Linked DNA regions of Tamandua tetradactyla. The protein of the gene in region 1 interacts with the protein of each later gene in a biochemical or structural test. Links are inferred from orthologs where the notes say so. Each region holds a gene or a part of one and is shown in the gene's direction. Other genes may lie near its edges. The genes, in order: WASL and PFN1.

Region 1 (14,722 bases):
TAACCAGAAGCAATAATATAATTCTGTTTCTCTACCAGTTTCTTGTCTTAGAATATGAATGAGTTTCACTACCTCTGCCTCATTACAGCCAGAGAATGAATCCCAAATAACTCAACTTCTCTGAATATCTGTGGCTGACAACCAATTTCATGCTACAAATTTCAGAATTACCTAGGGTTCCCAGTTGCAAAGAACAGAAATTGACCATGGCTAACAAAGTCAAAAGGGAATTTATTGAAGGATATTGTAGGGCTCACATTTCTCAAGGATAGGCCAGCTTTCTTAGATCATCTTCCTTTTCTACTGATAGCATGTTAGTTCACTGTATAAAATAACATAATGTGGAATAGACCCAAAGAGTAGGAACTGCAAGAATCCTAAGTGCAATGGTCAAATAAATGAATGCCAGAGAAGTTAAATATCATCAAATACCTCAGGGAAATTTTGGGGGGAGGGGGGGTCTTGTGTTCAAAAGCAGTTAAAAATATTTCCTTCAAAACGAAAGGCATGTTGTTATTCCCTCCACAGCTTTTCAGTAAGAATGAGACTTAGTGGGCCTCTTTGGATGGTTATGGCAATAGACATAATTGAGTGCCTTGTTTCAACCTATTTATCTAATGATTACAAAACTGTTAACGTGGAATGGATCTGAGAGCAAAAGAACTCCCCCAGGAAGCTCAGACTGAGGTAGCAGTGGTTGCTTATTGTCCTTTATGATATAAAAAATACAATAATGCTTGGAGAGCCTGAGGAAGATTGGGATTTTGTTTTGACCTGCATTAAAACAGGAAATAGTGACAGAGGACACATTCTCCCTATGTGTATCAGAACATTATAATGTAATACATATAAATATGGCTGAGTAATTTGATCTAACATTCTTGAAAATCTTTTATGTAGGAGATCCTTGAGCTTTAGTTCCATTTAGTGGTAATAGCTATCATTTACTGAGCAACTATTAAGTTATAGGCTTTGTAGTGGCTGTTGTTACATACATTATTTCAATTTTACTCTCTACATAACCCCCGGAGATACGTATTATCTCCATTTTACAGAAATCAAGGTTCAGTGAACTTGAGTAATTGGACCATTGCAGAGTGGACTGCAATATCTGCAGTCTTTATGTTATATTATGCCGCCTTTCAACAAAATTTTTAAACATTTTTAATCAATAGCTGGTTGCTGCATAATAGCCCAAATATTACTCATGATTCGTCACACCTTTTATTTTCCATTTTTAGGCATAGATCAATGAGGAGGTGGAACTACATAATGGCTCAGGTCCCCTTGGCTCTAAGGCACTGATTCTAAATTAAGTTATTGAATTGAATGACTCCCAAACCAGGAATAATTTTTCCTTATCCTAACATGAACATTGATTCTGACTAAATCATTTGACTCATTTGACTCAATGATTTTCTTCATCTGAAAAAAAAAGAAAAAAAGGTTAATAGTATTAATTCCAGCCATGGGGAATTAGAATCATGCTGATCTAACGATTATCAATTATTAAACACCACAAAACAAGGGAATAAACCATGACAGGTAATATAGGATTCAAGAAACAAAGGATCCAACACAGAAAAGAGGTACACAGTAATCCCAGGATAGAAGCAAAAGAAAATTCCAGACAGTAGTTATGCAGCCAAAAGGGCAATAGCCCAGATTAATACAGGATGATGAAGGCTCTGTGAGTGCATCTAATAGATTTCCACATACATGTGGAAAATAGTATGGAGAAGGGTTTTATAGAAGGAATGGAGGGCAGTATGATGGTGGCTCAGTGGCAGAATTCTCGCTTGCCATGCCGGAGACCTGGGTTCTATTCCCAGTGCTTACCCATGCAAAAAAAAATTGATAAAAATATTGAGGGTAAAAATCAACAAAAATACACTAGTACAAGAATGTCAACAGAAGCATTGTGCATTACTTGACTCATTAGGAATAATACACAGTATTCTGTGTGATAATAATTTAAACACAAATTGTATTGTAACTGTTGGGGAAAGAGAAACAGGGGAGTGGTAGTTTAAGAAAGACAAATCCTCACCATTTAAATTAAGAAATTAATAGATAATGCTTTAAATTGATAAGTCAATAAATAGCAGCTTAGCATATTATTTAGAAATATCTATGTTCAAACAGTTCAAAGTAGACGTCTCTGGGGAGAGCAGATGAGAGTACAGAAGAAGCAAGTCTGGAGCTTCTGGTTTTTGTTGTTAATGTTGTTGTTCGTGTTACCAGCTTTGTGATACTATTTGATTTCTTAAATCAGGTATAGGTATCATTTTAATAAAAAGAAAAATTTGATTTAAAATTTTTTATGATAAAGGAGGCCATACCTTCACTATAATACTTTCAGCAAGTCAATGGAGAAATGTGGCATCTTAAAATCACCTCAAGTATATAAACTGCCTACTCATCTATAATGTAAATTGACCTTGAGCATATAATAGTAAAGAAACCACTTTTTTTCTTCTCTCATCTGGTATAAACAGAGAGGCAATAACTACTCATTAAAGAGTGACAGCTAGAATACCAGTAAGCAGCATCCTGGGAACCACAGGATACTCAGCTTCAAATTGTTTTTTTTTAATAAAGATAATGTTTTAGGCATATGGAGACTAGGCCATATAGTGATGGTAGCTAGCAGTGGTTGTGATGGTTCGAAGCTTTATGGACCCCAGAAACATGTTCTTAAAGCTAATCTATTCCTTGTGGGTGGGACCTTTACATCAGGTTATTTCAGTTGAGATACGCTCCAGGTGGGTCTTAATCCTCCTAATGGAATCCTTTATAAGAGGATGAAATTCAGAGGGAAAGACATAATGAGAGAGAAAACCAGAGAAACAGAGAGGCTAGCCACTGAAGAAAGAAGCTGAAAGCAACGAAGCTCAGAAGAGAAGGGAGAGACCAGCAGACATTGCTACCCGATAGAGGAACCCAGGATCACCAGTAGCTGGTCTTTAGGGAGAAAGCCGCACCTCTCAATGCCTTGATTTGGACATTTTCATGAACTCAGAACTGTAAGCTTGTTAACTAATAAATCCTCATTGTTAAAAGCCATCCCTTTCTGGTATATTGTATTTTGGCAGCTTTAGCAAACTAAAACACTGGTAATTCCCTAGCAGGATTAAGAATTCAATTTTCTACTGGCATAAATAATATATCAGAATAGGTTGCAAGTTACCTATTCCTAAAAATGTAAGATCCAAAGGGGATTGTACTCAAAATGAGTTTAAAAGGGAGAGGGAGAACATAATGGATAGTTGGATAGCTTATTTCCCAAGATTTTAGTTGAGAAAAAGAAAGTATTCAACATTTAACTTGGAAGAACATATATTAGGACAAATCCTCTTAAACACTGCTGTATGCAACATTTACATAAAAATGGGTAGATATTTTACATGAGCATTTTAAACCTATGACACCTGAAGTTTGCACGGGAGAAGTAACATTCATCAACACTACAGTGAACAGGTTTGCTGCTCTACTGTCTCTATAATCTAGTTCCACCATAGCTAAGCAGCACATCAGTACCAGCAATTATGGCTACAATGGCTGCTGAATGCCACAGATCCCTGTGTGAAGCCACCTCTACATTTCTCCACACTGAAGGCTGTCACTATATTTTAAATTAATAACATTAGCAAGGAGAACAGAGTTTCAGAGAACTTGTAACAGTACATAAACAATGACATTTTTAGAGAAAAAAAGGATAACAAGGGCCCAGGACAAGAGAAAATTGTAAGGTATGATAACAGCAGGAAATGAGTCTAAAATATGCCCTCATTTCCAGACATAAGCTACTCTAATGTTTTCTGTTAAAATGAAGGCTTTACCTTAAAAGATCATAGCAAGACAGAAAGAAGAAAATAAAAGTACTGGAATAGATTCTAGTTAGTCGAGGAAATGTCAAATGGAAGAAATTAAAACTTAAGAATTGCCTTATTCTTCTATTCACCGACATTTTAATAGTGCACATATATTTTATATGTATATAAAGAAAAAATCCCTGCAGTCTCTTTACAAACTTCTTAGCTTACAAACTTAAAGATTATTCAGTTAAAGGGAAATAAAATCATTCTTATTTCCTGAATCAAATCCAATCTTTCAAACTGGATAAAAAGGATCTGAGATAAGAAAATAACTTCACAAAGAAAACAGAGAAAGATGTCTTGTGCTCTGCCAAACAGAGGACATGCTATCAAGAATGAAGGAAAGGAAGGACTTGTTAAAACTTCTGAAACAAATACAGCCAGTACTGCTTGGTCTCAGGATGAATGAGGGAAAAAACAGAATTCTTTATGCATGGTAAAAGGGAGAAAAACATATGGCTGGCTCACATGCCCTAGAGAGTAAGGAAGTCATATTTCCAATGCAATGTTCATGCTTACATTTTTCACATTTTAAGAACAGGATCAAGTAGTGGGAATAAGTGCAGAGAAAGGCAAACTTACAAGAAGAGGGTTGAAAATAAGAATTGAAATTGCAATTTTATGGGTAAAGTACTGTATTTAAAACTTTGAGGAAAAATTAAAGGAGCGAATTGTATTTTCGTTTCCTGGGCTGCTCAAGCAAATACCATGAAATGGGGCGGGTAAAACAATGCGAATTTATTAGCTTACGGTTTTGAAGATAAAAGAAAGTCCAAATCAAGACATCATCAAGGTGATGCTTTTTTCCCTGAAGACTGTGGTGTTCTGAGCCGGTTGTTGGCAATTCTTGCTCTTTAGTTTGTCATATGGCAATGCACATGGCAGCCTCTCTATTCTCTTTTGAGTGTCCTTGATTTCAGCTTCTTACTCCTGTGGCTTTCTCTCTGTCCAAGTTTCATCCCCCTTATAAAGGACTCTAGCAATAGGATTAAGACTCATTCTGATTGAGGTAGGCCACACTTAACTGAAAAAACCTCATCAAAAGGTTCTACTCACAATGGGTTCACAACGACAGGAATGGATTAAATTTAAGAAGACGTTTTTCTGAATACATACAGCTTCGGATCACCACAGTTTTGGGCTTGAGAAAAGTCTATAGTGGTAATTATTTTTAATTCTCATCACTAAAGAAAACAGAACTAGCATAAATAGTCTTAAAATTGTACTTAGAAGACATTTAAAATTTCCTGAAAGAAAAAAACGATTAAAATAATAGTTTAGGCTAACAAGAGGTTGTGAAATTATTGGAATCCAATAGTTCTCAGCATGGGATAGTTTCTTCATCTCATACCTACTGTCCATTCACCTATTCTCCTGTAGCTTCTATTTTTCACAACCATCTCCAACATCTCTCCTGCCTTCAAAATAATTTGGTCCTCTACAAGTCCTAAAAGCTGGTATTTCTAGCAAAAACATTTCTATCATTCAGTTTTTATCAGTTAGAAATTAATGTGATTCTGTCTCTAAATTTGGAGTTAAAAATTTTTTGTTATACTAGGATTTCATATATATATTTGCATAGTACATAGTCAAATAAAAAACTATGCTAATAAAGAATTTATGCCCCAAATTAACCACCAGATTTTTGGTGAAGTAGGTAGAACTCTAAATTTGAAGAACAGTTTTCAAAAATCTGGCTAACGTTGAACACAGACAACTCAACTCTCATCTCTTATCTAAGAGAAAGAAAAACAGAGCAGACAATAGCATGGGCAAGGACTGTCAATAAGGAGCAACTAATATTTGAGTAACCACTATGTATCAGGTACTTTATAGACGCCATCTTGGTAAATTTTATGGTTTTGAAGTAGGTGTAATTATCTCTACTATATTGCATCTTTATAAACTGGAAATTGAGGAAAGATAAGAAGTAACTTGTTTAAAGGTTCTAAGTGGCAAGGAATCTAAATAATTTAGAACTGATGCAAGTACTTTTGTTACTATTCTAGTTCACAGGTTTGAAAACAGTAGTACTCTAATTTCTATTATTTCTCAAGTATTTGTAATGCTTTCTACTGTCTGTCACTGTGCTTTGAACTTAAAGGAAAGGAGACAAACTGGTTTCCCTTCTAGGTTTATTTTTAAATCTTTAATTAAGAAGCAACTCCAGGTTCACATTCTACTACTGCTTCTCTAAAGCTAATTACTTTATAAGTAGTCCTCTTGCTTTTTGTAAAATTTATTTTTCCCCAGAACATTATCAAACAAGTTTAACTTTGAAATATCCATATTTTAGGTGAGGACTCGAAAACTGTATGCTTTCATTTTCCTTTGCAGACGTTTTCTTGTCTACCCAATTTCATTAAAGGCAGTTTTAATTTTCAAAGTGCATAGAAAATTGCTCATCAACATGTGTAGTGTAACAGAGATTTGTATTGGAATGTATTAGATTTTAGAAGCAAAAACTTTTACCAAATTTTAATTGTCACAGGATGGATGTTTGATTGGTCTGATATACGAATTTTTGTAAAAAAAAATTTAGTCAGTGAGCATGATGGTAAAGTTTCTGCAATAACGCTTATTTGTTTAATGTGAAGAAGTCAAATGAATACAGTTGGTATTCTTTATCGTCCTCAAAATTTCTTTTTACAAACTAGTTGTTGAGCATTTAATTCACTGACCAAACGGGGTTATCTTAGGTAACCTTCAATATTATGAGGCATACACCCTAAAAAAACAATTAGAGATTTACTTCTAAGGATTAAACCAGGTATCGTATTTTCCTGTGTCACATCCCAAAATGGATTCAGTTGTTTACTTTCTTAATATATTCATTTTGAATCAAAAGGTGTTTGAGAAAAATATTGAGGGGTTAAAAAAAAGTTCTCCAATTTATGTGATAGGGAAAAAAATGTATTCAGGGCCCTAAGAAAAACTTTATATTTAAGTGGTATGTATACATTTAACCCACAGGACACGACAGGCCGGCCATGGAAATCTTTCCTGAGTGCGTCTGTTGTTTTAACAGCCATCTCTGGATCTCTTTCACTATAGTGGGAGAGACCTGTTTGTTCCTTCATTCGCACCGTCGAAGTTTGGACAAAGTTTTAAAAACCCCAAGCACCTGAAGCTGTAACCCAAACCAACGAGGAGTACCAAGGAGGGTGTCTCTTCTCCCCAATGTTCCGTGTCCAGATTCCAGACCTTTTTGACAAGCAGTGTGAGCTTCCTGTTTCCGAGCTTCAGAAGAGCCTTAAGGGAAATGGAACCTGGGTCCTCACGGACGTCCACGTAAAGGTGTTCGCCAGCGTGAAGGAGGCCGGGCGACTCGGCCGCGGACACTAGCTTTCATTTTTTCTTTAGGTAGCAGACGCTAGGCCTCATCAAGCAAAGGACTGAAGCGGCGGGCAGCCGGAACCGACGCCAAGAACACAGCCCTTGGCCAGAACGCGCAGCCTCTCGACCGGAAGAAGGCGGGACCTTTGGCCGGCGCGGCGAAATCCGCTGCGGCTAAGGGGGGGTTCCACTCAACCGTGCGTTTCCGGTGCACCCCCGCCTTCTGCGCGCTGTGGTCTCGCCCATCCCCGCTGCCATGTTGGATTGTGCGGCTGCTACTGCCGCCGCCGCTGCCGCCGAGGGAGGGTTGGAGGAGGAGTTGAGAGTTTAGCGCAGGAGCAGGACTGAGAATACAAGGAGCCTCCGGCCTGAGCTTGGGCGGACAGGATCTAGGAGCTTCCCTTTCTCAGCGCGGCTTGGAGGCTGCTCGCCGACAGCTCCTCCTTCCCTTGGCCTCCTTCTCCCGGCGCCGGAGGAGCTGCGAGATGCTGCGCCTCTGATTCCCCTCCTCCCGTCTCTGTCACCGAGAAGGGGAACGAGCGGTCGCCCACTTGCTGGAGGAGACGGCCTTGGACCAGCCCCGCCGGCGAAACCATGAGCTCTGGCCAGCAGCCGCCGCCGCCGCGAAGGGTCACCAACGTGGGGTCCCTGTTGCTCACCCCGCAGGAGAACGAGTCCCTCTTCACCTTCCTCGGCAAGAAATGTGTGGTCAGTGGCTGAGACCTGCGTCGCCACCCCCGACTTTATCTCCTGGGCCCGGACTTGAGGGCCAAGAAGGGGAAAATGGGAGTGGGGAAGGAGGCGGGAGAGGCGCGGGGAGGATCCAGCTGCTGGCCGGGCCTCCCGCCGGCCCCGGTCTCGCTCCCTGGCGTGGGCTTTGGACGCCGGGGTGGCCGGACGCGGCTTCTCTAAGCTGTCGGGTCACAGGGCTGTATCACCTCCGCAGGCCTGCCCTGGAGTCCTACCGGGACGGGCCCCTATCCGCACCCTTGCTGCTGGTTCAAACTTTATTTTCAGGCCACAAGGGGATTTTGTTGCGCGAGCCTCATGACCCCTGATTACCAGCTCCTTCTCTGGCCTTCCCTCCACCTCCTCCTTGATCTGAGGGTGTCCTACTTCACAATGGCAGTGGTCTGAAGAGTGGACAGACAGGTCGGGAAATTAAGCCCATATATGAATGAAGCAGACCAGAAGATGGTTTTTTAATCTCCCTGTAGGCTCTCAGAAGGGAACGAATTCTAGGTTCCTGGGCTTTCTTCGGTTCAGAACGAAGGCAGGAAATGCTGCTGCTCCCAATTGCAGAGAAACAGGATTTATTTCCCCAGTAATCTCATGCAGGCTACTTTCTCCCTTCTTCCCTGCTGATTTTTTTTTTGTCTTGGTGGAAGAGAGTAATTTTCTTCCTCAGCCTTGCGCGGGGTAACAGCAGTCTCAGTAGTGGCTGGCCTTTGGGGCCTGAGAATGATTCTTAGGTTCCGGGTGTGCGGATGATTTCGACCCCAGATGGGTTCGGAGCAAGCAGTTCTACTGTGGGGAAGGGAATGTGTGTTGTTGACGGAAGCATTCATTACTTTGGCTGCTGGCAGTTCTTGGGGTGGGGAGGTTGTGCTCCGTGGTGTAGGCCTTGGAGTAGGCTGCATCTGAACAGTGGTGGCAAGGTTGAACTGTGATTAAGTTTGTTGAAACGCTGAATGGCGTTTCCCTTCCTTGCTTGTGAGTATCTGCAGAGTATGCAGATACTCTGCAGATACCGAAGGCACTTTCAACAAGGATATACAATTTTATAACCTTCCTTAGTAATGTTAAATATGTCAAACCAGATTACACCTGTTTGTTTAAGAAGTTAGTATCAGACAGTTTCTGAAACTTAACGGATTAATGGTTAACTTCACAGGGGACAACTCTTTGTATCCTGTGCCATGCAATTATAGATTGAATCATTACATTCAATTTCAGATGTTTTCACGTTTGAGAGGTTAATCTTAAAGAACATATTTTAAGTTTACCTATCAGAAGAATGAAACGAGGTAGACATGAACACGGATTTTTGGGATACAACTGTAAAGATAATCAAGTCCTTCCGTCCCCCACACTTTTTAAACAAATGAGAAAACTGATCCAGTGAGCTGTAAGTCACACAGCAATTTAGAAATGTAATAGAACTAAAAAACCAGGACTCCTGATTCTTCATCTGTTGTATTTTCCACTACATCATGTTGGTTTTAGAAGGTATGTTCTTAGTTGTTACTGATTTTTTTCTAAAAGTGGTGTTAAGGGAATAATCACTTCATTTTTTTTCCATCAAATATTAATGTGGTTCCCGGTGCCTGCCCATGCAAAAAAAATTAATGTGGTTAAAGTGTAAGGTTCATAGGAGCCCTAATAAAATCTCTAGGACTTTGAATCTTTACATACCCTGCAAATGAAAAAAATCATTTCAATTTTGCTGGTTTATTATTACTTTGTAATGTATATCAAAAAGGAAGTATTTGTACTATGTTTATATACAGACACATCAACTTTAAGCAGGAAGGCCAATACATTTATACACAAGTATACTGACTACTTGCTCTGTGCTTTCCAGTAGTGTTTACTGGTTTCAAAAAATGACATATGTGGAAGTATGCTGTGCAGATGTCATTGCTCACTGGTTAGTTTAAGTGGACTGTGGAATAAGCTGCTGAATTAAGATTGCGGAATGCTCAATTTATTTGTCATCTATTATTAACAAAGACACTTTACTTTTTGAATTTTTCTCATTTAAAACCACACTTACAGTTTCCTGCTTTTGTGGGATGAAATTGTTGCAAAGCTTATCGTTAATATTTGAAGTTCCCAGTTAATAGAGAGTAAAAAGGATATTTTAATTTTTTGGAATAATCTATTTTTTCTCTGTGGTTTATGCAGTATTTATTAGTTTAAAACAATATTAACCTATATCATCTCATTATATACAGCTTTAAGATTTACAGGTTAGGCCAAATTTGTTAGGCAAGAAGTAGAGCTCTAGATAGTTATTTAAGAAAAGAAACAGAAGTAGTTATAGTTCCAGCTTTTGAGGATCTTCATTCCTTCTTTCATTCATTCAACAAAAATGTATTCAAGTATTGTGTAACCAGATATTGAGGTCAAAATCAGAGTTGACGCCTGTCCTCAGGGAGCTTACTGTATCTAAAAAGAGATACACGTGTAAACTAGTGAGTAAGTCAGTTCTTTATAATGATGTGTCAGAGGCAGCTTGTTACAATGAAAAATGGTTTGGCTATGTAGACAGCAGACCTGGATTAAAACTCATTGGGTCACTTTGGGGAAGTTTCTTAACCTTCCTGTCCTGGATTAGATTTTCACATTTGTAAAGTAAGGATGCTATTTCATAGGGTGTCTGACTGTGTGGAAGAAGGACTAATGTTAAATAAATGGAAACTATTGTTTTTATAAAGGTTGAGGTAGTTTTGGTTTAGGGGATCAAAGGAGAGGGTGGTGGAAGAGAAGATGAGGAAGCGTGCTTTGGAGTGAGTGATACCTGAATCTTTACAATTAGTAGGCACTCCCTGGGTTGACAAGAGAGGTATATGATAGTTTAGAAGATTAGGGAACCTATTAATAACTTGTTATGGAATGTGGGGGGGGAGTTCTGCTTGAGTTTTCAAATTTAGGTGTGCATTGGAATTATTGTAAAAGTTAGTAGAAATACATAAGACTGGGCCTCATTCCTAAATAATAGTCAAATTCACTGGATCTGAAATGGAACTTGGGAATTAGTTTTTTATCAAGCTCAGCAGATGATTCTGTTGTATATTAAAATTTGAGAACTGCTGTGGAAGGCCACTGTTTCTTTTTTTAATTTTTTTTTTTTTTTTTACATGAGCAGGCATCAGGAATTGAACCCAGGTCCTCTGGCATGGCAGGCGAGCATTCTGCCTGCTGAGCCACGGTGACCTGCCCAAGCCACTCTTTCTTGAAAGGGTAATCCTGGCAACAGAGTGGAATCTTGGTCAGTATTTTGTGTGTTGAATTAAGTTAAAACAGTTTATTTTAGTGCAGCATTTCTCTGACCCCTTAAATTATCAATGCATATCTCATATCTGTAAGAGGGCAGTGCAATTGAAGAAGTACTGCACTGATTAGTGGGGGACCACATTATAAGACTGGTCTTTTAGAAAGTTGGAGGGAAAGGTGGAGGCAGTATAGAAGGTAGATTGAAGATTGTGAAATTGGAGACAAAAGAGATCAGATAGGTGCTTGCAGTAGTCCCCATGAGAAATGATGGGTTTGAAGTAAAGCATTACTGATAGGAATTTAAGGACAGTTAGAAGGACTAAATCTCATTTGGATTGAGGAATTGAGGTAAAGCAGCTCTTATAACCAACCACCAGCGGAAAGTTGAAAATATGCCTAGATGTTATTGGGACTCTGGATAGGTGCATGAATAAGACTTCATGAAAGAGATGAATCATCAGTAAATCTATTGTTTTGCCACAGTTTTTAAAAATAGATTTTGTGGAAGATGGGAGTTCATTTAAAGATACATGTAATATATAAATATATGTAATATGCATTTGCATAAATAGTTCTGATGCAGTTCATTACCTGCCATATTTTCTTATAAAAGCGAAGAACAATTAAGGAAGGTTAGAAACAAGATTACCTGGTCTTGTTTTGTAGTGAGTTCTGTTGTGTCTCTCATAAAGTGTGATTTAACTTACTTTCTACAAGGTGTAACTTGACAAATGGGATTTAATGTATATAGCCCTGAGTAAGTGAGGAATTACGGAGTGGGAAAATTTTAAACTAGCCCATCTACAGCTATTTCTGATCCAAGTGGATTGAGGTTAATCCAAACAGATTAATGTTGTTGACCATTAGCTTTTCCTGTCATACTCAACCTGGTTTGTTTCAAGATTTAGTGATATATAAGGAGCTCGTTTATATTAACCATCTTTAATCTTTACTGCCTTTAATTCCTCAGCACTTGTTTCAACTTGCGTGTATTCTTTAGTTTTGTTTATTTTCTCACCCTATATATAACTGGAATTTAATCTTCTTTAACCTTACACCTAAGTAGTTTTCTGTAATTTTTATAAAATCTAACATACAAATCACTGAGTACTTTTGCTTGAATAATTATAACTGTTAACTTGTTTGTTCCTTAAGCACTCATTTAGAACTACTCATTGCTTGATCAGTTTGTCAAACCTTCTTTTTTTATATAGATGGTCTCTGAACCATAGTTTTCATTTATTAGAACAAACTGGCTTAATGCTGCTGCTGAACTAATACAGACAGAAGTGGTAGCAATAACAATTTTGTTCCTGTTCTAAATCAGATCCTTTGGGCGGTGATTCTTAAAATGATTTTGGAGTGAGATCCATAGTGGGATCACTATTGTATTATAAAAAGTTGTGAAAATGTATTTCACATTGAGTAGTGTGGAGGGAAAAAAGGTTAAAATTCACCGGATTTGAAATACACAAATATGAGAAGGCAACCTGTCTTTAAGGAGCCTATAGTCTAGGATAGATGAAAAAGGTTAAGTGCAGAAAAGTGTCATATAGGGTCAACTAAGCACAGGAGAAGATTTACAAGAGTACAGTGGGTCTGGGTATACATCCTTTGTCTGGTTATTCTTAGCTTAAAGCTAAAGGCAAGGGCGGGCCATGGTGGCTCAGCAGGCAGGGTTCTCGCCTGCCATGCTGGAGAACTGGGTTCGATCCCTGGTGTCTGCCCATGCCAAAAAAACAAACAAACGAAGACTAAAGGCAAGCTTCTTAATCGATCTTAGTCTTAGATTTGTAAAGTGGGCTTAGTGAGGATTCAAAGAATAATGCAGTAATATATATAAGGTACATAGAGTGTCTGACCCTTATAAATTGTTCTGGGAATTTGGAGAAGCATATGAAAAGAATGCTATTAATATTATTAAGTTTTTAGATTTCCTATTATTAGAGGAAAGGTTTTCGAGTAAAATTTTGAATTCTAAACTGTATTTGTTTTGATTTAGGTAAATTAATTCTAACAATTTTATTTAAAGTGCAGTTAATTATAGAGTGTGTGAGTTGAGTTACAGAGCAACTTGGACAAGTCTTTGCGCAGCCTTGCCTTCCCTGATTGCTGACTGAAAAAGAGAGGACTACTGGTGTAGAGTTAGAAGTTCTTGGGTTTTAGTCCAGACTCTGGCATCAATTAATTGTGAACATGAATAGGAATCTCTGCCTTCCTGAACCTCAGTTTCCTAATCTGAAAATCAGGGAGTTGTACAGTATAACTCCATAGTCTTTCTGGCTTTATGTTTTATTCTAATTATGCTACTTGTAAGGAATTCTATAGCAGGGAAAAGGACAGCCCTCTTGTTAACCCTGTGTTTTGTATGCTGGAGACAGTATATAGCTGAGTGGAAAATGGATAATCCCAAATCACTCCATTTTAGATCCCCATTTTTAACATTTCATTTAAAAAAGACCAGGATGAACAGAATTAGTAGAATAATCAACTCTTAATTAATTGAAAATTAATGAGCATACCAAAAAAGGGCATTTTTGGCTTATTAGATACAGAGTACCTTTTAATTAAGATGGAATTATTTTTAAGAGTCTCTCTTTTATTAACCAATTCAACTTAGAAATTTATAACCTTATTTATAGGAAATTGTATTAGTGATATTATAGTTACGTGTTGAGTTTTATTGCTTATTTTACAGGGTAAATTTATTGTGCATTTTTTAGCTTAAGTGTTAGACTCAATAATTTTCATGAACCGACTTGGTCATTTTAGAGACCGATTCAGAGTTGAGGTTACTGATTGTATATGTAGAATGGAATGATATCTTAATGTTTTGTTTGTTAATTTTTTTTAATTAATAAAAAAATTAAAAAATAAATAAATAAAATAAAAGTTGAGGTTACTATAGGGGTCCATCTATGTGATCAAAATAATTCCAGACTGTTATGTTAGTGAACAGTATGCCAAGAACCAGAACTTCTGACAGAAATTTCTGAAATTCAGTTGAATTCCAAATTAGGCATTTCTACTTCCCTTTAAGATGTGAAGGACCAAGTTTTATATTTTACTATTTTTCCTGCTTATGCAATCTCTGTTCTTGCTGTTATTAGCGAGGTTGTATTACTAGAAAACACAGTGAAGGGAAGACTTGACTGGCCCTCTGAACTGCCTCCTGAGTTCTGGAAGTCACTCTTTGGCCATTTAGCTCTTCCTGTTGTGGACAGTGTTAGGGATTTTATTAAAAGTACACAATTTTTAAAAATTTATTTTTTACTCAGAGTGAAAATAGTATCTGTGAATAATGTCTTATTGTTGAATCCAGAGATTAAAAGAAGTCTCTTGTCTAGAAAATATGTTGAACTAGGGCATCCAAGATTCCCCACTTTGTGTGGAATAGGAGAGTGCTTAAGTGTTGACTGAAGTACAGAAGAGCTGGGTTCTACGTGTAGTGCTCCTAAGCAACTCCTGCATGTACATCATCAGTATTCCCAGTCTGTATGAAAACCAGG
Region 2 (15,433 bases), on another chromosome or scaffold:
AGCCTCCCATTTGTCCCCAGTGCCCGTGGCCAACAAGAGGGACACACGCTCCATTGAAGAGGCCATGAACGAGATCCGGGCCAAGAAGCGTCTGCGGCAGAGCGGGGAAGAGATGCCACCTACCTCCTAGGCACCCAAGCTCCCTCTGGCCCCTGGGGCAGGGCAGGAAGCAGGGAGGGACAAGGCTGCTGCTATTAGAACCCATCCTGAAGCCCACTTCTGAACCATCTCCCACTAGCTGTCACTCATGCTGGGGGAAGCAGGTTCTTGATTTGTCACTGTTGGAGCTTGGATATGTATGTGATGTGTATGTGCATGTATGAAAGAGAGTGTGAATGTACAAGCGGGTATTTAATCTGTATTCTTCCCTATTCTTCTTGGCATTTTCTTCCCCATAGGCCTGGGGTTACTTCACATTCAATAAACACTGTTTGACCCGATGCATTGATTGGTTTGTGCAGAGAAAGTTGGGTCCTATAAGCACTGGCAGAGAGGAAGGGGAATCATTTTAGGTCAAACAATATGAAATTGCTGTGTAGGTACAGATGACCAAATATTGGCACTGCAAAGGGAAGTATAAGATAAAAAATTTTAAGAGCACAAATACTGGAGCCCAGAGGCCTGGTTTTGAATCCTGGCTTGACCACTTACTATTTCTTTTACCCCAGGGGAGGTGAATTATTTAACCCTTTTGTGTCTCGGCTTCTTCACCCTTAAATGGGGATAATAAAAGTGGATAATAAAAGCGCCTATATGATAGATCTGCTTAAAGATTACACTGTTTACATGGGCCATAAACATCAAGCAGATAGAACAGTTCCATGTCCTCCTAGGCTCCGCCACAAAAGGTGGTGGTTGTTCTCATTAGTCCTTTCCTCCTCATACAGCTCACTCAAGCTGTGATCTTTACTCCTCTACCCTGCATTCAATGGACATTTACTTCAACTGATAGGAAGACCTGATCTAGACTTGCCTACCTCCTGAGGGGGTCCTCATCTCTGCTCTGCCTCTCCTGGAGCTGGCTTCTTGTTCTGTCAGTACCTCTTCAGCTTCATTACACATATGGCACCTGCTTCTGCCGACCTCTCGTTATGTGAACCTCTCTGTTCTAGATCAAGCACAGCTTCCTCTCTGAGTCCCTCACTTCCTCCTTGTTCTAGTAGGTTACATGTCTGTTCTCTACCTGCCCTTCCTGCCCCCACCTCTCTACCTCCTGTCTTATCCAGCCTATAGACCAGAATCTCTTCCTCCCACAGAGGAGGACACCACTGTCTTGATTGGCACAAGTGTTTATTTCAGGGGGAAGAGCTTGAAGGCCCGGGTCTGTCCAGTGGGGGTCTGGGACCTCCGGCTTCTTATTTGGCCTTTGGGTTACGGAACTTGCGTCCAGCAAAGACAGCTTTGTCCCCGAGAGCCTCTTCAATCCTAGAAGGCAAATTCAGGGCTGCTGGCTCCTAACCCAACAGCCTCAGCTCCCCAGTTCCCAGGCCCACCGCACCCACAGTACCTCATGAGCTGGTTGTATTTGGCCAGACGTTCTGAGCGGCAGGGGGCACCAGTCTTAATCTGAGGAGTAGAGAGGAATTCAGAGGATTGGGTGAAGTTGGAGAGGGTTGGGCTGGGCCCAAGGGAGCAGCCTGTAGTGACATTTAACTCAGAGGTGGGAGGCCAGGGTCCCCAGAAAACCTGGTCAGACATTCAGCAGAGGAGAGCTATAAGTACCTGCCCTGTGCAGAGCCCCACCACGAGATCAGCGATGAATGTGTCCTCAGTCTCCCCAGAGCGGTGGCTCACCATCACCCCCCAGCCATTAGACTGAGCCAGTTTGCAGCTGGAGAGAAAGGGAACTTGATAAGCCTGATGGGACTTCCTCTGTGGGAAGCCAGAGGCTGGGGGCCCCCTTTCCCTTCTAATCTCTTCTGGGTACTGCTGCCCCACAGGGAAGTGGTCACTTTGCAGGGAGGGCAGTGACTATAGTTCTTTGGGAAGTAGGAGGGAAGGGGGAAATTCCTGTCTTGAATCTGAGCTCCTGAGATTCTGGTGGTAAGAATGGCAGAATCTGAGAGGAATGGCACTGAGGATGGGGAAGGGGAACATGGCAGGGTCACAATGGCAAAGTTCCCAGGTCAGACAAAGGGTGTAGTCAAAACCCTGTGGTCTGGAGGGTATGGATAGTCAGGTCGTGGAGGAAAGGTAGGAACAGAGAGAGGCTTTGATGGGCCCCGGGCCAGGAGGGACTCACGCCTGGATGGATTCAGTCACTGAGCCAATCTGGTTGACCTTCAACAACAGACAGTTGCAGGCCTTTTTCTCAACGGCCTGGGCAATTCTCTTGGGGTTGGTGACTGTGAGGTCATCCCCCACGATCTGAATGCCAACCCCCGCAAGGAATGAGGTCCAGGTAGCCCAGTCATCCTGGTCAAAGGGGTCTTCAATGGAGACCACTGTGGGAGTTGAATGCAGAGTCAGGGGTTAGAGGTCAGAAGGGGCCTCGTGGAGGAGTGATGGGGCAGAGTTTGGACATGCACTGTGATGGGGCTAAGGGTTGCAAGGAACTGAGTAGGTGGTAATGGAGACCACTGAAATCACTGTGTTAGTTGCCAGAGACTCTAGAAGGTACAGTGGAATGCATGGGAGTCTCACCAGGATAGTTCTTGATGAAACTCTTGTACAGCTCCCCCAGCTTATCTCCAGTGATGTGGCGTGCGGGGTCATCAGGAGATTTGAAGTCAAGATCATACTTCCCGTTGCGATAGAACTCAGAAGCTGCTACATCCATACCAATCACCACCTTGTCAGGGTAACCAGCTGCCTGGATGGCCGTCTTCAGCAGCTCTAGGGCTGGGGGAGGAAAAAGACAGGCCTCAGGCTCTAACCCTTCTCTGTGGGGGACCTATAGGTTCTGCCCCACAGAGTGTTCAGCACTGACCCTCATTGTTCTCCAGGATGTTGGGTGCAAAGCCGCCCTCATCGCCCACATTGGTGGCATCCTTCCCATATTTGGCCTTGATGACTCCTTTGAGGTGATGGTAGACCTCCGCACCAATGCGCATGGCTTCCTTGAAGGAGCTGGCGCCCACAGGCAGAATCATGAACTCCTGCATGGCCAGCTTGTTTCCAGCATGGGAGCCCCCATTGATCACATTGAAAGCCTAGGAAGGGGAGAGGGGGCTCAGACTTGGGCTGGAGGACCCCAGATGAGAGGGATCAAGAAGGAATGGGGTCTAGGTGGAATCCTGGCTTCTTTACTTACTAGGAGTCATTTTACTCATCAGAGGGTATGTCTCCATTTCTCTAAAATGGGGATAATACCTACTTCCCACAGGGACTTTTGCTGAAAATTAAGAAAAATTGGCCATAAAGCACTTTGCAGGTGCTTGGTATATGATAATAATGAAGACAACAGTAATAGCCAGCACTTACATGCCATGGCTATGTGCAGGTACTTTACATATGTTGTATTAGCTCACTTCACTCTCAAAACCCTGTTAACTAGGTACTATCATTCCCCAGTTTACAGATAAGGAAACTGAAGCATGGAAACGTTAAATAACTTGCCCAGGATAACAGAGCTAGTAAACAGACAGAGCCAGGATATGAACCTAGCAGTTAGTCTCCAGAATGGGTGGCTTTATACAACTGTTACTGCCTAACAAGTAACAATAAATGGTAACATTATTAAGATTAAATTCAAAAGGCTTCTATAAAGAGATGGAATTTGGTTTATTAGGGACCTAAGATATAAAGAAAGGCCAAGATCCTTGCCATGAAGCAGCTCTCAGTCTGATGTGGGGGGTGAGGCGCAGGGCTGGAGGTTGGAGCTCTTGAGCCTAGGGTTGGAATGTGAAGGAACTGGGTTAAGTTGCAAGGGAAGGAAGCATAGGGAGTCTTAAGGGTAGGTTTGGGCGGGGGAGGGGGAGCTGGACCACAGTATAAGAGGTTCGATTTCAGGAAACAGCTTCTCTGGAGCTGGGTCTGGAGGGCGGATTTTCCAGGGGCTGGCCCTGTGGGATCTGGCAGAGGTACAGCTGCACTTACTGGCACTGGGAGTACCAGGTCTGGGTTTCCGGCAAGATCTGCAATGTGTCGGTAGAGTGGGACCCCCTTCTCCGCTGCTCCTGCTTTACACACAGCCAAGGACACACCCAGGATGGCATTGGCTCCGAACTTGGCTGGAAAGGGCAAGAGGAGGTATGAGAGCTTCTCCCTCGGAGTTTGGGGTCATTTCTTAAACACCCTTTTTGGTGACTCTAGAATAATCCTGGCCCCAAATCACCGGCATTAAGTGCCTGTTAACAGATCTCTCCCATCGGCCTGAGGAGCTCTGGGAGACCCCACCCAGGGGAATGTAATATGCGGGCTTCAGGTCTGTGTCCACAGCCTGGGCCAGGCCTGGCAGAAGGCAGGCATCAGGAAATGCCTGTGGAGTGAATACAATAAATCCATCCAGCTATGGTGTGCCCCAAAATATGGGACACAAAACTAACCCTTACCAGGCCTCTGCCCCTGTGCTTTCTCTCCCATCCCTTCCCCCATCCCTAGCCCTTCACTCACACTTATTCTCGGTCCCATCCAGCTCAATCATAAATTTGTCAACTTTTTCTTGATCTACAACGCTTAGTTTCTGGAAGGGCAGATGTGAGGAGGAGAGAGTAGAAGTCAGATTTCTCTGGAGACAAAGCATGGAGGAGTGAAGAGTATTTGGGGGAGAGGGGGTAACTGGCACCTCTCAAGAACGGGCTGCCTTGGGTGAGCACAGCAGGAGTGTGGGGAGGAGGGTAGGGTGAGCAGGCTTCTGCACTTGCCTTTTCCAGCAGAGCAGGGCCTAGAGTCTTGTTGATATGTTCCACAGCCTTCAGGACCCCTGGAGAGGCCGGGAGAGGGGGTTCGTTCAGAATGGTTCTGCTCTCCCCAACAGTCTCAACGAGTAGGCCCCAGCTCAAGACCTTCAGGTTCCAGTCTTCTAACCCCTCTGTGCCCACCTGAAACCACCCACATGGGCTCCTCCTGCCCTGGCCTTTCCTTACCTTTCCCCAAGTAACGTGATTTGTCTCCATCTCTTAGTTCCAGGGCTTCATAGATACCTGTAGAAGCTCCGCTGGGCACAGCTGCTCGGAATCGGCCTGGGGTGCAAGGAATTGGAAAGTCACAGAGAGTCCCATCCAGGCACAAAGGACTGAGGTATTCCTCCTAAGCCCAGGGATAAGAGGATAGTGCAGAGAGAGACTTCTGCTTCTCCCAACTCAGGAGCCAGGTTGGAAGAGGAGTCAGAGAAAGGTCTGGGGAAGAGGACCCCAGAGGAAAGAAGGGATGTGGCACAGACCTAGGGGACAAAGGACAAATGGGTTTGGGGTCTTCTGAGGCAAACCAGTTAAACGGGCCTACATTACCCTTGGCCGTGTGCAGGTCCACCTCCACCGTGGGGTTGCCCCTGGAGTCCAGGATTTCCCGGGCAAAGATTTTCTGCATGGCCATGGCTGCAGAATAAGAGCTGAGTGTGGACAGCTGATCCCTTAAGGAACCAGAAATCCCTTGCCCTTTAAGAGTCTTCCCCACCCCAAGGAGGCAGGTGATGTAGCTAAAAATACCCCACAAAAGGTCACAGACCAAAGAGGCAGGCACAGCACCCCCTCCCCTCCACTCAGACTCTCTCCTATTCCAACCCTTCCATCCCAAGAATCCAGGGGCCTCTCCTTTATAACTCCTCATACTCCCATCCCCGAACTCCCATTTTCCCCAAACTGCCCGTATGCTTTCTCCTTCTAACTTCTGGTCAAACAATCTCCATGGCCTCTCCTTGCCCTCAAATCCTCTCTGGCTATTCTGGTTCTCATTTTTCTGCTCCCCAGTCGTCTCCAAATCCTCGGGGGAACCTTGATTCCTCATTTGACTTTAATTCTAACCACACTTCTGGATCCATCCCTGCCTGCCTCTCCTCACAGCCTCCCTTTCCCTGTATCCTTGGGTGCTCTCATTGTTTGCCCCATCCAATTTCTCCGGTCTGTATCAAGCAACCCCAGACCCAGGAGGAAAAAAAAGCTGAAATTCTGTCCATTTTCTCCAACTCAGCACCACCTTTACCCTTTACCATTTCCACCCCCTGGGGCTCACAGCTTCACCAGACCTGGGATGTCTTTGCTGGGGGTCACGGATGAGTTCCGAGTCTAGGTGGCAGCTGGGACAGTGTCAGCTCACCCCCTCTCAGGCTGGGCATTTATCCCCGAGCTGGTCGTCGGGCCAGCTCCGCCTCTCTCCATCCTCCCCCCTCCACACCTGGCTGGCAGCCAAGGACCCACTGCAGTCTGAAGCATGAAGTCTTTGGCCCTGGCCCCATCTCCCCCACCTTCCCACTTTCTCTCAGTTCTGAATAAAAAATCTCTCCTTTTAATTCTACTTCTTGGGAAGTTTAGGAGAGGGGCTTAAGGTCAGGGGTCTCTCTCTTTCCCAGGATTATATTCCCTTTTGCAAAGGTTAAAGAGGAACTAGTGCCCTTTAGGAAAGGCCAGGGGTAACCTGAGCCCTGCAGGGCTGGGGAGGGGGCCTGGAAGAGGGGCTGCAGGATTGACACCCACACATGCTCAGCTCACTTGGCAGGCGCCAGGCTGCCTCTGCCTTCAGTCGGGGGAGGGACAGTGGTTCTGGGCAAGCTCTGAGGTCTAACAGTGACTCCTCCCCCCACCTAGAAGGCGACCGGGTCTTACCCCTCAGGGTCTTCATACCGGTTACTCTCGGTTCTACCCTATCCTACCGTATCCCAGCGGCCAGGCGGGGGTGGGGGTGGGGTGCGGGTGGGGTCAGGGAAGAAAGCGGGGAGACGAATTTAGACGGGCTCTCAGAGCTGGCGCCACGCCCTGCGATAGAGCTGGCTCAGAACTTCTCTCTCTGCTTGGAGCCTGTCGGTCTGAAACCCCTTTCCTAACCGACTGCTTCGGGACGCGCGGCCCCAGTCCATCAATTGGATAGTTCTGAATCAAAAGTAAAACAAAACACAACAAACTGAATGAACCAGAGGAGGGGGGTGGCCCTTTGTGAGCGTCTGAACGCCGAAGGCCAGGCGGGTGGTCAGCCTGTAACTTTACTGAAAAGTGGGTGTCGGCACTTGGGAACTCTTCGCCTTGGAGGGTCTGGGGAGTGTGGGGTCTATGCCGAGTTCCGTCCGCAGCCCGGCCGGGAGAGGGAGGGCCGGCGGCGGTCACCGAGCACCTCGACTCCTCTTCCCGGGTTCGGAGGTTCTCCCGGCCGGAGGCGGGGCGGCCAGCGCCGGGTGACTCACTCCGGCAGCCCTCTCCCTAGCTTCTTCCCAAGCCCCCCACTCCCACCGCCCCATCAATGATCCTTCCCCCGCCCCTCCCCCTCATCTCCCGCAGCTCCCAAAGGGGAATTTTTCCACCCTGGAGCCGGGTGTGGGCAGGTCAGAGGTCAGGAGATGGCTGGCGGGCAGCGCCGCCACGTGCCCGCGTGCAGCCCCGCCCGAGCCGGCCGGTGACTCAGCCACCGCGGCTGTCGAGGAATACAGGCTCGGGGGCGATGGGGGTCTTTGGGGTTTGGGGTGGGACTCAGAAGAAGCTGCGTCCAACTCCGGAGAACGAGATGGAAACAGAGCCCCTTCCCGCCCAGGAGGCGCAGCAGGAGCCGGGCGTCCCTCCCCGGAGGGACCGGAAGCGGCCAAGCCCCATCGGCGGCGAGGTGGGTCGAATGGGGCCAGCTCGCCAAAACGGGCAACCAGGACCAGGCCCCCCGCCCGCTCTCCAGTTGGCGACGGGCCAAGTAATCGCGGACGAGTTCTTAGCATAAGTTTTATTGAAGAAATAAAAATAGAAGAAAAAGCCCAAACGGGCCTTAAGTAGAAGAAACAATCTCCTTCTTGAAAAAGTTGCTAATCTCCGGCATCTTTGTATTCTTCCGCCTTGAAAAGTAGTCCCGCCTATTTCGCCCTGCACTTAATGACCTCTAGCCGCGACGGGCCAAGGAGCATGACCGGTCACCCAAACTGTTGGCCGGGGAAGAGGGAGGACTGGGAAATGGGGTGAGGTGCTTGACTGGAGCTGATCCAGCGAAGAGATAATGCCCTGAAGGGGGCGGGTTCCAGGGAGCAGAACCTGTGCCACACGGGCAGATGCAGGAAACAGAAGTGGCCCCACTGGGTGACTTCAGCCCTGAGAGCGGCGGGAGCATTTTGTCTAACTCCCCTTCGCTCCCTTATTTCTTGAATAAATAAAATCAAGGGTGTCAAGGCGGCAACGCGCGCGCCCGCGCCCTCGCTCCCGCCCCCTCCACCAGGCGGACTCTAGTTTCCAGCCCGCCTTCCTTCGCCAGAAAGTCCCTAATGTGTCCGGCCAGCGCGTCCCAGCGCGCGCCCGCCAATCCTGCCGCCGGTCCCAACTGCTCCACGCGCCTTCCCTCCCCGCCCCGGCGCAGGCGCGAGCGCACGCGCCGCCGTTCGCCGTCTCTTCCCTCGGGCGGAGGTGGGGGAAGGGGTAGACTTTCCATTTAACCCAGGTTTCCCCAACCCTCTTTAGTTTGCAGCCTGCTCTTTCTTCCGCCTTTCTCTTCCTTACTTTCATCACTCCCTTGCCCCTATACCGAAGTCTGGTTTATATTCAATGCGAAGTGGAGTCCAAACCCTAACCTCTGCCCCGCCCCCGACTCCCAATCCTTTTACAGTGCTTTCTATCGAACTCTGCAAATTTTGCAATAGGGGGAGGGATTTTTTAAATTGCATTTGCAAAGTTCGGTCTCTGGACAGAGGGGGGAGGGAGGGGATGGGGAGCAGGCCCCGCCCCTGCCGCCCTTTGCAAATAAAAATCTAGGGGTGGGGGGAGGAGCAGGAAGTGGCGGTACGAGGGCTGCTGCACAGCCAGAAGAGCCGCGGTCCGGACGGCAGCGCGTGCCCCAAGCTCTCCGCCTTCCCTCGCCCGCCAGCCCGAGTCCAGTCCGCGGTTTCAGCAGCAGCACCGAGCGCAACCCCAACAGCAGCACCATGGCCGGGTGGAACGCCTACATCGACAACCTCATGGCGGACGGGACCTGTCAGGACGCTGCCATCGTGGGCTATAAGGACTCGCCCTCCGTTTGGGCCGCCGTCCCCGGGAAAACCTTCGTCAACATCACGGTACTGCGAGGCCTGCGCGGTGTGGGGAACTGACCGGGCTTGGACTCTGAGGGAGGGACTTGGAGGAGGCAGGCGCGGTCTGGGGAGGGCAGCTAAAGGCGGTGACCGGGTCTTTGCCCTGAAAGCCATGCGAGTGGTGACTGCATGTGAGCGGATCCCTCCGTCCGGCCTAAGTCCTATGCCCCAGGCGACGGCACCTAGCCCGCCCGCCCGGCTCTCGGCGACGGGGCGTTACATCCGGGGCACTGGGCGGGGAGGGGCGCGCCGCCCGGTGCGGCGGCCCACTTCCGCCTCTAGGGCGGGGCGGGTACGCGCTGCACTTTAACCAAGGATTCTGATTGAGAAGGGTCTTCAGGGCCCGTGCTCCACTTGCCGCTGCTAGCACGAGCCCCACTCCACCATTGTTCCCCCTGTGCAGGAATGAGCTCCAGGCGCATGGCCTGGGTCCCATACTCGCCCTCCTAGGAGCCCTGCCCCTCCCTACTCCGTTAACGAGGGCGAGGCTGCCTCACGCCCCCCTAATTCGGCACGTTGGTGCCGACATTTCCCGTGAGGCCAATCCCGGAAGACCTCTCGCCCTCCCCACCACCCTCGGGGTCTTGGAACGGGGGAACTTGGTGAGAAAGTTCTGCGATAGTGTAACTGAAGGAGTACGAGTTGGCTACTACTGTCCCCATCACCTCCCCTGTCCTCAGTGCCCGGAAGTGGGGAGGGGGAGCGGAAGTTCGAAAGGGGGGGAAGGGGATTTCCGGGCGGGAGGGAACCGGATGTAGGGGTTTGGGGTGTAAGGGGGAGGGGAGAGAGGTTCCCTGGGGTATCTAGAAGCAAGAACTGGCTTGTTGGGTTTAGCTCCGGGCGCTCTTCAAAAGTTTCCTAACTTTGCCAGGGAGCCCCCAGGGGTCTGCTTCCTCATCTCGGGGCATAGATGCCTAGGCCTAAACTCTAGATTACTTGGAGACCCAGGCGTCCGGGCCCCTAATAACTCCTGTAGAACCTTTGACCAAATAAGGGCAAAGTTACTTCTCCTGTCTTGCCCGCCCCCTCCCTTCCCCTCTCCGCTTCTGCTTTTCCTGAGGGAGATTTCTGTGCATCCAAAGGGTCCCCACTCCATTCCACTTCATTCTTGTCACTGACTTTTGGCCCCTTTTGCTTTCTGGGTTTGCTTTCTCTATTAAACGTCAAATTCTAAGTCTTCAGAGAAATATATCACTCCTTTCTCCATTCTCGAGTTTGGGGGATAGTAATCTTTTGTGCACTAACTTCCCGCAGTCCTAAGAGTTTCTCATATTTTATGGATGTGTACAAGGCACATTTATCCCTGGGGCGTTTAGCTCCCTGAGAAGTAGAAGGCGGATGGGTCCTTGAAGAGCAGGGTGGGGACCTTGGTACACTGCCTCCCTTAAATGAGTCCTCGATTCCGCTTCCAGCCAGCTGAGGTTGGTGTCCTGGTTGGCAAAGACCGGTCAAGTTTTTTCGTGAATGGGCTGACACTTGGGGGCCAGAAGTGTTCCGTGATCCGGGACTCACTGCTGCAGGACGGAGAATTCACCATGGATCTTCGTACCAAGAGCACGGGTGGAGCTCCTACCTTCAACCTCACTGTCACCATGACCGCCAAGAGTAAGTTTTCTTATCCCTCCTATCTGCAAGATCCCTAATGTACCTCCTCCCATTACTTTCTCTTTTGAGTTCTTTTTTGTGTGTGGTTTGTCACTGCAAAAGTAGTCAGACCATGTTCAACTCCCATTTCTGCTCCCATAGGCTGGGACATTGGATAGTCCCTCCAGTTTTGTCTCAGTTCCTCATCTTGTAATACAAAGAACTTGAAGTGCATTAATTTTTAAGTTCCTTTCTGCCTCGAACCTTTTCTAATTAGAAACTCAGATTTCTTGGGGTAGATTGCTGGGGTCGTAAAGCAGTGTTTAGCTCTCAAATTCTGAGCCCTAATGCTAAAACTTGGAGGTATCAAGCTCCTCATCCATAGCCATTTTCAGTCTGAATATGAGTTAACGGCCCAGGGGCCTTTGACCTGTAAATTTTAGTCTGCTTTTCTCCAGCCTCTAAGCTTTGATTTTCCCCTTTTGAAAAGCCCTATTGTTTCAGGGTGACTGACAGCCTGCCTGCGCCTCTGTGTCTGTGTTGGGGGGAGGTTGGGAGGGATGAGGTTGGGTTACAGCCCCCAGGGCTGGACAGCTGCTGAACAGCTGGCGGGGGGGTAGAATTGACACCTGGGGTCCTAGCCTCCTTTCTTTTTCCTCCAGCGCTAGTCCTGCTGATGGGCAAAGAAGGTGTCCACGGTGGTATGATCAACAAGAAATGTTATGAAATGGCCTCCCACCTGCGGCGTTCCCAGTACTGACCTCGTCCATCCCTTCCCCCCACCTTTCCCCACTGCTTTTGCACCCCTCTCCTTCCCATGCACACACACGTACATCATTTTTATTTTGGGGGTCAATACCCCATATCCCTTATTGCTGCCAAAACCACATGGGGCGGGGGCGGGGGCTGGATGTACAGATACCTCCTCCTACCCATACCCCTCCTGTGTGTGGTTGGAAAAGTTTTGTTTTTTGGGTTTTTTGTTTTGATTTTTTTTTTTTTCTGAATAAAAAAAGATTCTAACAAGGTGCTGTGTGGTTTGAGCCTGGGTGTCAGGTGGGGCACTGTGACTTGCTACCTTTATAGCCTTCTTTGGTGACTGGGAGGAATGAGGATGGGGACATCAAAGTCCAGAAGCTGCTTGCTTCCAGACTAGGCTTTCCTGGCCAGGGAGCTGGCCCCTCCAGAATTGCAGTTCCAGCCCTAAGTTCTAGGAGTGTTGAACTGATGTGGTAATGGAATAGAATCATCCTGACCAGAGAAAATGGGTCCAGGCCTGAGGGTAAGGCAGGGCCAACTGAGTCATCTCCATGTGTGGGTGGGGTAGGGCACCCCCCCACCTCTGACTCACAGTAACATTAGCCTGCTGGGACTGTCCCCATGACTACAAGTTAGTCTCCCAGCACCCCTCTGCCAATTATTAAAAATAAATTACTTATGGCAAAGAAAAAAGGGTAATTTCCCTCAAAAGAAGTTTACTTGTGTGAGACTATCTTGCCTTAATTCAGAAAAAAAATTTATTAACCCAAGAAGTGAAGACCCAGGCCCTTTACCTCCTCCAACCCCCTCAGTGATGAGGTTGGGGGAGAAAATGAGCTGGAATATCCCCTACTCCCAACACAGAACACTGGAGGGAAAAGTGAGGGGCTGTGCAAATAGGTCAGCAGAGGTCAGGGAAAGGGAGGTACTAAACCAAGATGGCAGCTGAGGGGGAAGGGGAGGGTGGGGGGTCTGTTGAGGGCCCAGGAAAAACAAGGGGAGCCGGAGCTAGGGAACCAAAGGAGGAGGGAACAGTCGGGCTGGAGCCCAGGAGTGGGGTCCTTTCTGAGGCAGGGTGGTCCCTTGGCTCCTCATCACCCTCTGGCCCCTGAGCTGCTTCCTCCTGTTCTTCATCCCCAGGCCCCCGATGAACAGGCTGCTTGCAGATGGGGCAGGTCTTCCGCGTCTGAGTAAGCCAGGGGTCCACACAGCGGCTGTGGTAGGCTACGGAGAGAATGAGGTGAAGCACCAGCTTGCTGCTGGTGGACACACTGGCACAGGTGGTGAGGGCCTCACCGTGAGCACAGGGAAGTACCCTCAGCTTGTCCCCATCCTCATACTCATCCAGCAGATGCACAGACATCATACTGGTCTCCTGAGGAGAAGAGAGGGTCATGCCCTTCATTGAGCCATCCTGAACCAGGAACCACAAGAACTCTGGGACGCCTGTAATGGAGCTAAGCCCTGCAAAAATGATTTTCCCTTGTTCCACAGAGCCTGTGGAAAAGATGGGGCAGTGTAACACCAGGGCAGAACAAAACATGGGGAAGAATGGGGTTAGAGGCTACAAGCAAAAAGCAGCAGAGGTAAAGGAAGTGGCTTTTTTGGGGGGGGGGGGTGGAAGAGGGTGGAGAGATAGGGAGTAGGAGAGCAGAAAGAGGGCAGGCTTCTGCTATAACCTTGTATGGGCACTGGAGGCTCCAAAGCCTGAAGACCCAGCCCCCTCCTTACCTGTTTCTTCCTTTTCTGACTGAATCCTCCCCATTTCTTCCCCCTACTCTTCACCTCCCTCATAAGCAAGGTCTGCCTCTCCATCTTATCCCCTAACTATTTCACGTCGTCATCTTTGCTTTCCATCTACTGTTCAGCTCTGCTCTCTATCTCCTCCCTCATTCTCATTGTGTCTGTGGGTAAAAAGAGAAGAAAAGATGGCATCTTGGGACTCACTGGCAGTCAGTCTCTACCATCTTTCTTTACCCTTATGTCCTAAACTCAGACTCCCTCAGAACCAAGTAAACTGTGGGAAACGTTCTCTTACCCCCTTCCCCACCTCACCCTTCTGATAGTCATGTGTAGGGATCTGTTTCAGCTGCTCTTTTGTCAGTCGATTCCGCTGGAGCCGTTTCCGGTGCTGGATACAACGAACTATCTGGAGGAAGGATGGATCAGGCTTAAGATATGAAACCAGACAACCTTGTACAAACCATCCCCACCTTCCAATGCCTGCTGGGGCTGTTCCCATGATTACAGGGCCAGATCCAGTCTGGCCTTAGAGACCCCAGCACTTCCCCTCAGACTCCCTGAACTACTCACCATTACTGCTCCCATGGCCAAAACCAGCAATCCCACAATCCCTGTGAAAGGGATCAGGTAATAGCCCAAGGGGAAGCCATTGTCTGGGACCAGCAGCACATGAGCCCTGAGGAAAAGAAGACTAGTATTTGGAGGAACAGGAAAGCCACAGAGGGATAAGGAAGAGGGATAAAGTGAATTGGTCCAGGACAAGGCCCAGGGATAGGGAAGGGGTGAGAAGAAAGTCAAGAAGCAGGGTAGGGAAATCCTGAGGCTGAATGGTTGGGGCAGCAAGATATGGGCTCAAAGTGGGTATGGAAGTTCTAAAGGATGTACACATCCTACCCCTTCTCGTAGATGAAGAGGGCACGCAAATACTCAGAGCTCCTCTCCCCAATAAACACAGACGGGATCCAGATCTGCTGCTGGATTTCCTCTGCAGGGATCAGGACGTTATGCTGGAGACTCAACCTTCCACTTCTCAAAGCCCTTAGGAACCCTGGTATTTGGCCTTTTTGCCCCATCCACCCTAAGGATCAGCTTCTCTCCCCTAGGCCTTCAGTTTCCACCCCTCAGCCTGAGCTGTACAGAAAATTCAGACCTCCCAGCCTTACCACTATTCCACACCATGTTCAGAAGTTCATTAGAATTCACATTGTGTACCACAGCTGCAGCATACCCAGCCTTCTGAGCATTTAGGACCTAAGGAGACAAGGGGATGAAGAGCCATCATGAGCCTGGTCTCCCATCATTCCTGTCGTCTTTTTAACTCTCAGCTTCCCAGGTCCCACCCCCCACAGGTTCCACCCCCCCACTCCAGCAACCTTGAGGTCAAAATTGCAGTCGAATCTTCGAAGCAGTGCAATAAAAACTGACCCGTTGACCGGTGCTGGGGGTGGTGGGGCAATGGGACTGCAGGCATTGGCTGGATGAGCCTCCACAAGGAACCCCTGGGGAGAGAAGTAAATAGCAGTTGGATTTTCTTCTTCCTGGGTTCTGCTCTCCAGGACACATTGGTCCCCACACGCTACACATCCTCTATCTCACTTTCTTTGTCATTCCTAGGTTCTGGGCATCCTACCTGAGTTAGAGATCTACATCTTCTCTTATCCTCCTGAGGATGCAATTATATCAAACAACATCTCTTTTACCAGACCCTCCCATCGTCCCTCTTGCCATCCTAGATGAAGTAATCTGTACACCATATTCCAGGCTAATTCGATCGACTGCCCATTTCCCAGTAATTGTAATTCAATTCTCTACCATCCATGTCACTTTCTCTCAAGTTCTGTTTCACATTCCCTTCTCTCATACACACACCTACAGAACACACTCCCTTGCACCCTTCAATCTCACCACCAATGCATTTCACAAACAACTATCACTAATATCGATGGCCCAACTGAGTTTTTGCTATGGGCACTCTTTGCGAAGTACTAAAAATTGCCTATCTAATTTAATCCTCACAACAACGCAGACATAGCTTCTATTATTAAGCCATTTTACAATAAAACAAAGGCTCAGAGAGGTAATTAACTTGTTCAAGGTCAAACAACCAATAACATGGCTCCAGAGACTCTACTGATAAACATCGCATGCCCCTGCCTTTTATCTTAGTCCCCTTTCAGTCTTCTTCACAAGGCTGGACGTTCTAAGGGAGGTACTCTGTAA

The links.
Region 2: the proteins of WASL (region 1) and PFN1 form a complex in vitro, tested with the Homo sapiens proteins (2 studies listed by BioGRID). The link is inferred for Tamandua tetradactyla from reciprocal best matches to the Homo sapiens genes WASL and PFN1.

The regions. Positions count from the first base shown.
Region 1 is NC_135327.1:164,608,756-164,623,477, reverse strand, and holds the start of WASL (actin nucleation-promoting factor WASL), read left to right. Parts: upstream 1-7,436; 5' UTR 7,437-7,808; coding exon 7,809-7,922; exon of another isoform or gene 7,923-8,975; intron 8,976-14,722. UniProt on the Homo sapiens protein: Regulates actin polymerization by stimulating the actin-nucleating activity of the Arp2/3 complex. Involved in various processes, such as mitosis and cytokinesis, via its role in the regulation of actin polymerization.
Region 2 is NC_135332.1:60,456,116-60,471,548, forward strand, and holds PFN1 (profilin-1), read left to right. Parts: upstream 1-8,809; 5' UTR 8,810-8,980; coding exon 8,981-9,112; intron 9,113-10,539; coding exon 10,540-10,732; intron 10,733-11,373; coding exon 11,374-11,471; 3' UTR 11,472-11,737; downstream 11,738-15,433. Other genes in the region: SPAG7 (sperm-associated antigen 7), read left to right, coding at 21-130; ENO3 (beta-enolase), read right to left, coding at 1,356-1,425, 1,508-1,566, 1,723-1,831, 2,243-2,444, 2,644-2,841, 2,930-3,152, 4,039-4,172, 4,555-4,624 and 3 more. UniProt on the Homo sapiens protein: Binds to actin and affects the structure of the cytoskeleton. At high concentrations, profilin prevents the polymerization of actin, whereas it enhances it at low concentrations. By binding to PIP2, it inhibits the formation of IP3 and DG.